2 linked regions of the Arabidopsis thaliana genome follow. The protein of the gene in region 1 binds, or shares a complex with, the protein of each later gene. Each region holds a gene or a part of one and is shown in the gene's direction. Other genes may lie near its edges.

Evidence for each region.
Region 2: AT1G60900 (region 1) and AT4G14300 share a complex: the UniProt entries of both Arabidopsis thaliana proteins name them as parts of the spliceosome.

Annotation. Positions count from the first base shown.
Region 1 is NC_003070.9:22,422,162-22,428,754, forward strand, and holds AT1G60900 (U2 snRNP auxilliary factor, large subunit, splicing factor), read left to right. Parts: upstream 1-1,732; 5' UTR 1,733-1,846; coding exon 1,847-1,957; intron 1,958-2,231; coding exon 2,232-2,524; intron 2,525-2,607; coding exon 2,608-2,757; intron 2,758-3,067; coding exon 3,068-3,135; intron 3,136-3,765; coding exon 3,766-3,842; intron 3,843-3,937; coding exon 3,938-3,985; intron 3,986-4,063; coding exon 4,064-4,123; intron 4,124-4,237; coding exon 4,238-4,298; intron 4,299-4,383; coding exon 4,384-4,496; intron 4,497-4,602; coding exon 4,603-5,049; intron 5,050-5,117; coding exon 5,118-5,253; intron 5,254-5,360; coding exon 5,361-5,428; intron 5,429-5,507; coding exon 5,508-5,645; 3' UTR 5,646-5,892; downstream 5,893-6,593. Other genes in the region: AT1G60913 (Rapid alkalinization factor (RALF) family protein), read right to left, coding at 6,444-6,593. UniProt on the Arabidopsis thaliana protein: Necessary for the splicing of pre-mRNA.
Region 2 is NC_003075.7:8,229,002-8,234,964, forward strand, and holds AT4G14300 (RNA-binding (RRM/RBD/RNP motifs) family protein), read left to right. Parts: upstream 1-2,000; 5' UTR 2,001-2,177; coding exon 2,178-2,399; intron 2,400-2,770; coding exon 2,771-3,784; 3' UTR 3,785-4,158; intron 4,159-4,307; 3' UTR 4,308-4,762; coding exon of another isoform or gene 4,763-5,010; 3' UTR 5,011-5,075; coding exon of another isoform or gene 5,076-5,226; 3' UTR 5,227-5,280; downstream 5,281-5,963. Other genes in the region: AT4G14290 (alpha/beta-Hydrolases superfamily protein), read right to left, coding at 1-81, 309-412, 626-707, 1,019-1,056; AT4G14301 (uncharacterized protein), read right to left, coding at 4,763-5,010, 5,076-5,226. UniProt on the Arabidopsis thaliana protein: Involved with pre-mRNA processing. Forms complexes (ribonucleosomes) with at least 20 other different hnRNP and heterogeneous nuclear RNA in the nucleus.

The DNA of each region.
Region 1 (6,593 bases):
TATTTTCTTCTATATTTCTCTAGTCAACCAAAAATTTTGCCTTAAGGAAACCAAAAGAGAAATCCAATTGAAAAGGATATTAAAATTAAGGGTAATATTAAAAAGAAAATTTTGGGCCCAACATCAGAACACCATTTTATGACTGTTTCTATTGTCGACTGTTTGACAAACTGAACAAACAATGGCTTTGATTGGTGAACAAAATCAAAGCACTACAATTTCTACAATTTATAAATTTATCAATCAAATATCAAAATTGTTACACTGTTTTTTTACAGTTTTTCTGTACTATTTTTCTTTTTCTTTTTTATACATCATTATGTACCATCTTACCATTATAACTACCAGGTAAAAAACTTGTAAATTTTTATATTATTAATAAGACCCAATATATATATATATATATATATATATATATATATATATAAGTTAGCAATCCAATGGTCTTGCAGTCTTTCATTATTGTAATGATGCTTATTAGGTTTTGTACTAAAATTAATGCTAATCAATTTAGAATTTACATAATAATATTTAGAATCATCTGTTTTTGTAACTATCTTAGTTTTAGAACTAAAAATAAAATAACCCAAAAAAAACTGGTAAGTACTAGTCTCTAATAGCTATGCTTTCTTTCTACAATATTATGGTAGTCAAATTATAAAAATATGGGGATGTTTCGAATCTTTCTACCGTAAAACTGGTTGTGTCCAAACGTATATATTTGGGATACAATAAAATAAAAAATAAGACTATTAAGCCAATGAATCATAATGAGGCCATAATTTTAAACGATTAATGGGCTCCTAAATATCTATCTTCATAATTCACACTCCACATGAATCTATTCCTAGTAACCCTAAGTGTTTTAATAATAGGATCTAGAGATGTTCGAAGATATAATTGCATTTTACTTTTCGTCGTACTTATGACGAAGCAAGCCTTGGACATCTCCGTTTTAAAACAGGGATCTCATGATCTTGAAAAGGATTCTTCAAGAAGCACAGAAAAAGACAAATTCGTATGAATTATTGACTCATATCAAAGTTATTTCATATAAACAAAATCCTATGAATTATTGACACTAGTCAAAACTCAATGAACAGATTGATTGGCCGTGAATGCTACGGTCCATGAAGGGATCGAGTGTGGACCAGTCTCTGCAATATATGTTGTTAGGTTGACTTGTTTTCACTAGAATCGTATGTTTTTCCAATCCATCAGTACGTTTAACTTCAAACCACCGTCAAATGAAAGCTAATTTAAACTTCTTCTTTTTTTGTAATATTTTGTGTCAACAATTGAATTTGATCCATGGTGAGAGAAACCTCTAAACGCCGGAGATATTTGTGATGTTTTAACGTGGTCTTTCATCTTCAATTGCTAGTTACGCCTAGAAACATATGTGACTTTAAACTATCAGATAAAGACTTATAAAACACACTTTTAAAAAGTCATAAACAAAGACATCTAATAATAATCAACCCTTAATTACACAAAAAATAATAATGTAAAACAATATTAGAATGATCAATTTTTAAAATATTTAGTTTTTTTTTTTTTTTGGTGATAGAAACTAAAAATTTAGACTATAAGCCGATAAAGCTGATAAGCCCATTAAGTATAATGAGACCCTAGTTTTCAAATTTGGACTAGACAAGCCCATTTACGGTTTTGGTGTAACACCAAAAAATACTGTTCAATTTACAATAATACCCATATATCACTTCATCTTCCTCGAAGAATCTTCATAATTTTTAATTCATCCTCCATTAGAATCCCTAGGGTTTTCTTCCATACACAATCAGACTCAACGATAAGTACCAATCGGAGAAGAGATCACAAGTGGATGATGAGTTACGAAGGCAACGGAGATGGTGTCGCTATCTCCACCGAAAACCACAACGAGAACTACATATCTCTAGAGAGCTCGCCTTTTCATGAAGACTCCAAGTCTCGAGTATGTTACACTTTCTTCTTTACATATCTTGCGTTCGATTCTGTAGCTTTTAGGTTTCTCTCGTGAATTAGACTGGTAATCATAATTTGTTCTCCACTTGTATTGTAATTTGGTACAATTCTCGGATTCTGCTTGTTGAATTTATGTTTTTGATAGTTTGATTTGAAGGATTCACTGGATTTAGAGTATATATTATCATGTTAAGTTCATATGTTCTCTTTAGAAATCTGGGGATAGTATATGAGAGAAGCCTTTTGACATTTGTTTCCTGCAGGAATCTCATGATCTTAAAAAGGATTCTTCGAAAATCAGTGAGAAAGACAATGAAAATGGACGTGATAAAGACGGAAACAAAGATCGTGATCGTGAGAAGGATCGTGATAGGGAGAAGAGCAGAGACAGAGATAGGGAGAAAAGCAGAGATAGAGATAGGGATAGGGAGAGAAGTAAGGATAGGCAACGAGACCGTCATCATAGAGATCGTCATAGGGACCGTAGCAGAGAACGTAGTGAGAAAAGAGATGATTTGGATGATGATCATCATCGCAGAAGTCGAGACCGTGATAGGTACTCATTAGTGTGTTGCAATTGTTTTTGTAGTTTTAGATTGTTTTATTCTTAAAATTGAAGGTGTAGTCATTTCTCGACAGGAGGAGGTCTCGCGATCGAGACAGAGAGGTGAGACACAGGCGACGGTCACGCTCTCGGTCAAGGAGCCGCTCTGAACGTAGGTCAAGGTCAGAACATAGACATAAGTCTGAACATAGATCACGCTCACGGTCGCGATCAAGGTCAAAGAGGTACCTGGGCTCTCCTGCTATTTTTATCTTTTCTAACTAGTTCTTTCCGTGGCCACATTGCAATGTGTTATGATATTGATGTCAAATCAAATAAAACCATTATTGTTTAGTATTTGATGTCTTTGTTTTGTTGACACAATATGATTATCATGGTCTTCTACTGGGTTGAACGGTCCCTCCTTATATGATTACCAATATTTTAGTCTGATCTGGGTCATTGATGTTTATGTGTGTTTCATACGTTTACTTGGCATTATTTTTTCGAACTCGTCTCTACTGATGTCTAACCAATTATATTTTGCTCTTTCAGCAAGAGGAGAAGTGGATTTGATATGGCGCCTCCTGATATGTTAGCTGCTACTGCTGTTGCTGCAGCAGGTATTTGCTTCATCATCTACTCAGGGTTATTATATTTCTTAACTGCTTGTTGTTTTTGATTTTACGTAGTTTGGAAAGATCATAGTCAATTACACGGTGTGACTTTGGTAAGCTGCAATTTTATTGTTTACTCGTGAACAAAGAGGACTTTGAAGTCTTGCTTTCTTCATAGGATGTCTTGTTATTTTTGTTTGACTGGTGGTTCTGGAACTGAGAAATTTTTTGTTTGTGTTTTTTTGGTGGTGTTTGTTTGTTTCTGTGTCTTGTCTTTTTGTAGTAAGAAGGCTATGTTGGGTTAGTTGCCCCACTGTGCTGACAATGAGCCGACCTCTCTAGCTTTAATTGTACAAGGAGGAATCAGTGCAACGGTTGTCATGGGTATTTTTCATCTTCGACTGGCAACTATATGCCTGTTTTCGAGCCTTACAATCTCTGACAACTAAAACGAATATTACATCACAACTTTTCATTTTAATATTCATAAGTTGTTGGTATACTTTCTACTTGTGGGTTTTGTAAGTAGCAAGGTGTTATCTGTAGCTTTGTACTTGTTGGTAGGTCTGCTCCTCCGGGAAACATAATAATGTATCTAACAAACATTTTTATGACGCATACTACTTTACCTAGCAGGCCAGGTTCCTAGTGTGCCAACTACTGCTACTATTCCAGGGATGTTCTCAAACATGTTTCCAATGGTCCCTGGTCAGGTATAAAAATTTGTATTTTTGTGTCTCTTATGTTCCTCTTTTCTTTTGTTTTATGCGAACATGCTCAGAACTTCTCAATCTTTTTTCTCACATAGCAACTAGGTGCGCTTCCTGTACTGCCAGTTCAGGCAATGACTCAACAGGTACGATCTATCAATCTATCTTATTCTTAGGTTCTTCACCTTTTGTCACGATTCCCTTCCTAAAATATGTAGTCGCAGGCAACTAGGCATGCTCGGCGAGTCTATGTTGGTGGCCTTCCACCAACTGCTAATGAACAGGTTTGTTACTTTTGTTTTGTTTAAGGTTTTGTGACTTTTTGTTTATTATTGTCTATTTAAACCACATTTCAATATCCATTGTATGCCTACTGAGAATGGGTTTTCATGTCCTAGTCGGTGTCAACGTTCTTTAGCCAAGTGATGTCGGCCATTGGGGGAAACACTGCTGGGCCAGGTATTGAAAAGTTCATTATATTTTTGTCATATTGGCCGCAAGTCTATACGAAATCTCATCCTTTTTTTGGATTATTAATTCATAGGTGATGCGGTGGTCAATGTTTATATAAACCACGAAAAGAAGTTTGCTTTTGTAGAGATGAGATCTGTTGAGGAGGCTAGTAACGCAATGGCATTAGACGGCATTATATTAGAGGTGATTTATTAGCTCTTCTACACTTTAGATGTTTGGTGTTTATTAGTTACAATCTGTATTATGAGTATTGAAACCTATCTGAAATCATAGCTTTTTTCATCTCTAGGGAGTTCCTGTAAAGGTGAGGAGGCCAACTGACTATAACCCGTCTCTTGCTGCAACTCTTGGTCCGAGCCAGCCTAATCCCAACCTCAACTTAGGGGCTGTTGGATTGTCTTCAGGGTCTACTGGTGGGCTTGAGGGTCCCGACCGCATTTTTGTGGGCGGACTTCCCTATTACTTCACAGAGGTACAGATCAGGGAGCTCTTGGAGTCTTTTGGGCCCCTAAGAGGTTTCAACTTGGTCAAAGACAGGGAGACTGGAAATTCGAAGGGATATGCATTCTGTGTTTACCAAGATCCGTCAGTAACAGATATTGCATGTGCCGCTCTAAACGGGATTAAGATGGGTGATAAGACACTTACAGTTAGGCGTGCAATCCAGGGTGCAATTCAACCTAAACCCGAGCAAGAAGAAGTCTTACTTTATGCCCAACAACAGATTGCTTTGCAGGTAAAGGATTCTGATTCACTCTATCTAAATGATCAGTAATGCTAAATCTGTCTCAAACTTTGTTGCAGAGGCTTATGTTCCAACCAGGAGGTACTCCCACCAAGATTGTCTGTTTGACTCAAGTGGTTACAGCTGATGATCTTAGAGACGATGAAGAATATGCAGAGATAATGGAGGACATGCGACAAGAAGGTGGAAAATTCGGTAAGCAATTAGATTTTCTTATTGTCTGTTCTGACATTATACCAATAGCACATTACTGAGGCTCATGGTCTAAAATGAACTTTGATAAATCATTGTTGTGTGTGTAGGTAACTTAGTGAATGTTGTGATTCCGAGGCCTAATCCAGATCATGACCCAACACCAGGAGTTGGGAAGGTTAGATTTCAGTCCTCAGATACAAATGTCTACCAAATTCATATATAAATTGCATACTCTAATGGTAATACTAATGCAGGTTTTCTTAGAGTATGCGGATGTGGATGGCTCATCAAAGGCCAGATCGGGGATGAATGGAAGAAAATTTGGAGGAAACCAAGTAGTGGCTGTGTATTACCCCGAAGACAAGTATGCCCAAGGCGACTACGAAGACTGAGCTATCTATCGTCTTCTTCTTAAGCTTTTAGTTTGGATCTCTTAGCAACAAGTTTGGTTCTTTTTTATTTTTAAGTTTTTTACATGTTTAGTTCTCTCTCTACTAAATGGAGAAATTTGTCTAGAATCTGACTGCAATAGTACTTGTCCAGGCACAATCAATTAAGGTGTGTGTTGGTAATAGTAGCTTTTGGTTTCATTGAACACTAACCAAACCACATCAGTTTATATTATTGTTCTTTTAAAAACTAAAAGACCAAACCACATCAGTTTCTAAATGCAATGCTGGAACATGTGCAATTGCTCTCACTAAACGTGAAATACTGGATTTATATTAGAAAAGTAAGATAGTAGGCAAGTAGCACCAGTGGTCTAGTGGTAGAATAGTACCCTGCCACGGTACAGACCCGGGTTCAATTCCCGGCTGGTGCATTTGAGCGTTGATGAAATTTGCTTTAAGCTAAGGTTGGGTCCTTAGCAATTCTCCGATGAATCGGATAATATAGCCTCATATCTGAGCTCATTTGTTTTTTATTTTATTTTACAACGAAAGTTACATGTCATGCTTTCACAAGACACATCTCATGTTACACGAACTTGAAGTTATGCCTGATAACACATTAATTTATAATTTATTAAAATATATATAACAATAATTTGAAGTTAAAAAAAATGAAAGAATTTTAAAATAATTAAAATTTGATAATGTAACAAGTTCCATATCACATCAATAATGTAGATTAGTGATAAATTTTTTTTCATATTTAGTAGAAAATGATTTGTATATATGAATACATAATTAAATATGATACTTTTCACGATAACAATGTGTAGTGTTTTGACAACCAGGAGGAAGATGGTACTGGTTGACTGGAACTCTGACACAATTTTTGGGATCTTGAGTGCAGTCTGGAACTCTATCTTTTGCAATAGCTCTATATTTTATGTA
Region 2 (5,963 bases), on another chromosome or scaffold:
CCCGAAAAGTCAAGCGTGAAAATCGTGATGTTTGAAGGAAGTAATACGATCGCAGCTTCACTGGCATCAGCTCTACATCCACTGAATAAGAATGAATCCATTAATGAATAGTATACTAAAAGAAACATTAAGCTATTATGATAATTGGAAAACTTTAGTAATGTTGGCAACCATATCAGTTGTTTCATTTCAATGCATGGTTGTCATAGTATCCTACCAGCTATTGCATCGATTGAAGGATGAGTTAACTAGCTTATTTCACCAGTACAGCTCAAATCACGTTTTATTAAAATAAAAGTTACGATTACCTGTTGCCATGGCAGTATATTACACAAGGTAGAGGCCTATCTTCAGGACGCTCAACTGGCATGTAATGACTACACTGAAGGATATCTCCTCTGATGTTTTTAACCTGTCACAATATAAGTTCTTCTATAGTCTTAGGTGAACAAAGCACAACTAAAACCTTGAGATCCTAAAGGCAGTCCAAGGCTGGAAAATAAGGAACTCACGCTGATCAACAGTGAACAACTGATGAAATCTACATTGACATTGAATCACAACATGTTTGCTTGGATTCTCTAGTCAGGAGTTCACAACAACAACAGAAGAAAAAAAGCTTTACCTCTAAATCTTTCCTCTGGTACCATCTCCCTTTAAGCAAGAACTCTTGTTCCAAGAGATCATGTTCTGGATTGTATTCAGCTCTACATCAAAACACCAGTTATATTCAACCGTAGATGAAACAAACTAATTAAAACAAATTGGATTTGAAAGAGGAACAGGGTTTTCTTGAGGAAATGCAACCCTAAATCCTAGTATATATTACTTCATCTATATAAAAATCCAAAATCAACTCAAGAACAAGAACCAAAATTTCAAAACTCAAATCTAAAAATCTAAACTTTGTGTGAAACCCAATTCTACAACCTAGTAAAGAGAAATAGAAAGATGAAACTGAAAACTAAATTCCAGAATCAGTAAGTAATTTTTTTCAATTTTCTGAGAGAATCATCACCTTGGAGGTCGAATGACGAAGTTAACAAGCTGCTCCATTAGAAAAAAATCAAACAAATCACCTTCTTCTTCTTCTCATTCTTCCATATTTCTCACAAATAGTCAAAAATCGAATAAAACCTAACCAACGAAAGAGATTCAGATAGAACAAGAAATGTAACTAAAAAAACCCTAAATCAAAAGATCGAGCTGTTCCAGAAGAAAGACAGTGAGATCGAAGAAAGAAAAACACAGAGAAAGAGAAGAAAATAAAGCAAAGTAATAGAAAAACGGCTTTTTCGTTGTTGAAGCCTGAAACTGTTTTTATATTTAAAAATATATAAACAAACTTTATAAATTAGCCCCACATTTTTGCCGCTTTTTACATTTAACGTCTTCACATTTCATTATGGAAATTAATTAATTGGTATTGTCATGTATAATCATTAATCATTATTACTAATTCCAAAGTTTTTTCAGTGAAAGCTGACATTGACCAAAGTCTCTTAAAAAATTTCGAAAAAAAACTCAAAAATTCAATTAAGGTTTTTTAGTGGAGATCGTGCACGTTAATTGTCGTTTATAGGCTATTGTTTTAATTATTTTAAAATATATACGAGGTAATTAAGAGATTAATTAAACTTAAACATATGAGGTTAATTATTACAAGTACTAATAAAGCTGTAATGTGGAGTTTGGAATTTTCGACAACAAAGTGCACATCTGGCACAGAGATTGTCACAGCACGAAAGATTTTTTTGTCGTTCTTGTAGGATTTGCTGGCACGTGTGGAATAGAAAACACACGAGTGAAACCATCGTCGGTCTTTGTAGCCCATTATTTATACTTCTATTGGGCTGGACTTAAGCCCATAAGTAAGCATCTCTGTTACAAGAAAACGGGAAACAGATCTGAACCGTTAATAATATTAGAAAGGATCTAGACCGTTGATTTATTTATCTGCTGACAGATTCGTACCTTCGCGAATATCAATACCAAACCAATAGAAATATTCGTTCGCTGTCTTCTTCCTCTTCCTCCTCTCAAATCGGCTACAGCCATTGGAAAAGCTAAAGCCTTTTCGTAATTTCTGGAAGTTTCTGCAGTCGGTTTTCACGGTTTCGTAGATTGAGGTGGATTTGTGATTCTGGGTCAGAAGTAAGATAGTGGAATATAAATTCATGGATTCGGATCAAGGAAAGCTTTTTGTCGGTGGTATTTCATGGGAAACTGATGAAGATAAGCTGAGAGAACATTTCACCAACTATGGAGAGGTTTCTCAGGCTATTGTGATGAGAGACAAGCTCACAGGTCGACCTAGGGGTTTTGGGTTCGTTATCTTCTCGGATCCTTCTGTTCTCGATAGGGTTCTTCAAGAGAAACACAGCATTGATACCAGAGAGGTTATTATTGTTCTCTTATAGCTCCATTTCTCTAATTGTGTTAAAGTTTTATCCTTTTTGCGTTTTGCTGTGTTGATTGAGAACGAGAGTAAATATAGAATTTTGTTTGGTTGGCAAATTCGCCTTAGTGTTTCTTAGATTCTAGGATTGGTTTTAACTTGTATAAGAGGTATTATAGGGTACTCGATATATGTTAATCGTACACTCTATGAAGTGATTGAGTATAGTATTAGAAAAGAGAGCTTGGTTTGGTTTATTAGGATAAGGAAAAACAGATGTATATATTTTCTGTTGCGTTATGTTCTCGATTTGGGTAAAGTATGATTCTTGGAAGTTTATTATGAGCTTTATTGATTTTGGTTAATGTTTAGGTTGATGTGAAGAGAGCCATGTCAAGAGAGGAGCAGCAAGTCTCTGGAAGAACTGGGAATCTTAATACATCTAGAAGTTCTGGAGGTGATGCTTACAATAAAACCAAGAAGATCTTTGTTGGAGGCTTGCCACCTACTTTGACTGATGAAGAGTTTCGCCAGTACTTTGAAGTTTATGGCCCTGTGACTGATGTTGCAATCATGTATGACCAGGCTACCAACCGTCCTCGTGGGTTTGGATTTGTTTCCTTCGACTCTGAAGATGCGGTAGACAGTGTTTTGCACAAGACTTTCCATGATTTGAGCGGTAAACAAGTTGAAGTAAAGCGTGCTCTTCCTAAAGATGCCAATCCTGGAGGTGGTGGACGATCAATGGGTGGTGGTGGCTCTGGTGGTTACCAGGGTTATGGTGGCAATGAAAGCAGTTATGATGGACGTATGGATTCCAATAGGTTTTTGCAGCATCAAAGTGTTGGAAATGGTTTACCATCTTATGGTTCTTCTGGTTATGGCGCTGGCTATGGAAATGGTAGTAATGGTGCCGGGTATGGTGCCTATGGAGGTTACACTGGTTCTGCTGGAGGTTATGGCGCTGGTGCTACTGCTGGATATGGAGCAACGAACATTCCAGGTGCTGGCTATGGAAGTAGTACTGGAGTTGCTCCGAGAAACTCATGGGACACTCCAGCTTCTAGTGGTTATGGGAACCCAGGCTATGGGAGTGGTGCTGCTCATAGTGGATATGGAGTTCCTGGTGCAGCTCCTCCTACGCAGTCACCATCTGGCTATAGTAACCAAGGCTACGGTTATGGAGGGTACAGTGGAAGTGATTCTGGTTATGGAAATCAAGCTGCATATGGTGTGGTTGGAGGGCGTCCTAGTGGTGGCGGTTCAAACAACCCTGGTAGTGGTGGCTACATGGGAGGTGGTTATGGTGATGGATCTTGGCGATCTGACCCGTCACAAGGTTATGGTGGTGGGTACAATGATGGTCAGGGTCGACAAGGCCAGTAGTGACTGTGTAAGGGGATTATGACCGCCCTGGTTTCTGGATCCTTGTCAAGAAGAATTTAGCTCAAATCAAAGGTTCCACAACTTCCTAACGGGTTGGACTGCTTGAATCTCTTTATAAGCATGTGCTATCTATTACAATAAGTCACTTCTATTAAGTTATTTTTCGGTTGAGTGTACTTTTGAGTTTTGGCAGAGTTATTATAACTACAGGCTTTGCTGTTTTCGTATTATGTTTGTCTTCCTAGTATTCTTGCCGGATTGTTTGTTTTGATTGTGTTATTTTGTTTTGGCCCTGATGGATATAACTTAAGCAGGGAATAATGCTTCAGGGTACTTGTTAAGAAAGCAGATGGTGAGAGCAGAACTCGATGGAGGTGAGAGTCAAATTGCTGAATGTATGGTTTGAGTAGAAAGTAGAGGTAGTTGGTAACGTTAGTGGTACCATTAAGAAGAAGGTGTAGAAAATAGTGAGAGGTAGCTTTGAGAAAAAGGCATAATCATTTTGCGTCGTGTGTTTGTACAGGACTTATCAAGGGCTGCTTGAGTTCTTAGGTGGGGCAACGACTCATCGAGGTTGAATTCAAGGTCTGCTCCTACTCCGAGTTGAGGTAATCACTTGAAGAACGAAGAGGCAAGGTGTTATCAGTATGTGAGCTACTAGGTTCTTTTGTGAGGGGTGAGATTGAAACAAACATAGATAGGCACACACTGTGATAGCACAAGGCAGAGCCACATTGTTAAAATATCTTTTGGGATTACGGGGTTTGATCCGTAATGATGGATATTAGGATACCAAATTCTCATAATTATAGATAGAAACTAGTGGAAACTCAACAGTACAAAGCTTATCTTGAGCTGTGAAACTCAAAGTTACAAATACGTGAAAGCTAATTTAATTTATTCAGAAGTAGTTGCTTTAACCAACTTGTTTACGTGAGACATCCATGCAATGCAACTACAATCTTCTTCTCATTTAGCTCAGTGGTGTCCAAACCAGCCAACACCAAAGCCCCATCCTTTACCTTTTCCAATGCCGCCTCCAATACCACCACCTTTGCCTATTCCGCCGCCAAAGCCCCATCCTTTACCTTTTCCAATGCCGCCTCCAATCCCACCACCTTTGCCGATTCCACCACCAAAGCCTCCACCTTTACTAATGCCACCTCCAAAACCACCGCCTTTGCCTATTCCGTGGCCGAAAATGCCTCCACCTTTACCAATGGCACCTCCAAAACCACCACTTCCCCGGCAGCGATTCCACCTCCTTTGCCAAATCCTCCACCAAAACCACCTCCAAAGCCCTTTCCTCCGCCTATGATGGTCTTCTCCTCTTCATCTTTTCCAAAGGTCACACCTTCTCTTGCAGCCACATAATTCACCACAAAAACATTGAACCACAACAAAGCCAAGAGAGCAGCTCCGTTAACAACGAGACTCCCCATCTCTTTTGTTTTTTTTGTATGTATTAAGTTATGTTTGTTTTTGTATAAGCCAAGACGAGACCAGCTCCGTTTATAAAGGCGAGTGAGTAGCCAATTAATTACACCAACTACTAACTGATCCCGATTGTTTTAACCTCAACTCGTAAATGACTTTACGTTTTCGTAGATTACCCATCACATATTCACTCTTACCATGACTTCATCGACGCATTTTCTAGTCTATAAGACTATAAGACTACAACTCCATACGAGCTTTAAGTTTTCATTTTGGTACAGTAAGCATATAACCTTTTTTTTTGTCAAATACAGAAGTATATAACTTTCTCCAAATCATTTTCTAGATAAAGTAATAACATTTTCGTTATGTTCTTTTTTGAAGCACATCATTTCAATAAATTTGAAAAACTTTTTTTCTTTTTTTTGATTGAGAAACTCTCGTTATATGGAAGTGAGAGAATGATCAGAATAATAAACTATAGTTTGCTACGTCAATGGACAACGTTTATTATTGGTTTTTTAGTTTGGTGGTTTGATTCTATGTACGTAGACGTTTAATCTAAAGTTCTCTGTAAAGCGAAACATTATTTAGGTTTACAACGAATGTCTAATATTGACAAACAAAAGAAGAAGAATGTCTAATAGATAGATACTTAAAATGTAGATAAATAAAAGTGTTACAGGAAATTGATTTAAATTGGTATGTGTGTTTCTCAAATCTACTAAAATATGGTTAGAAT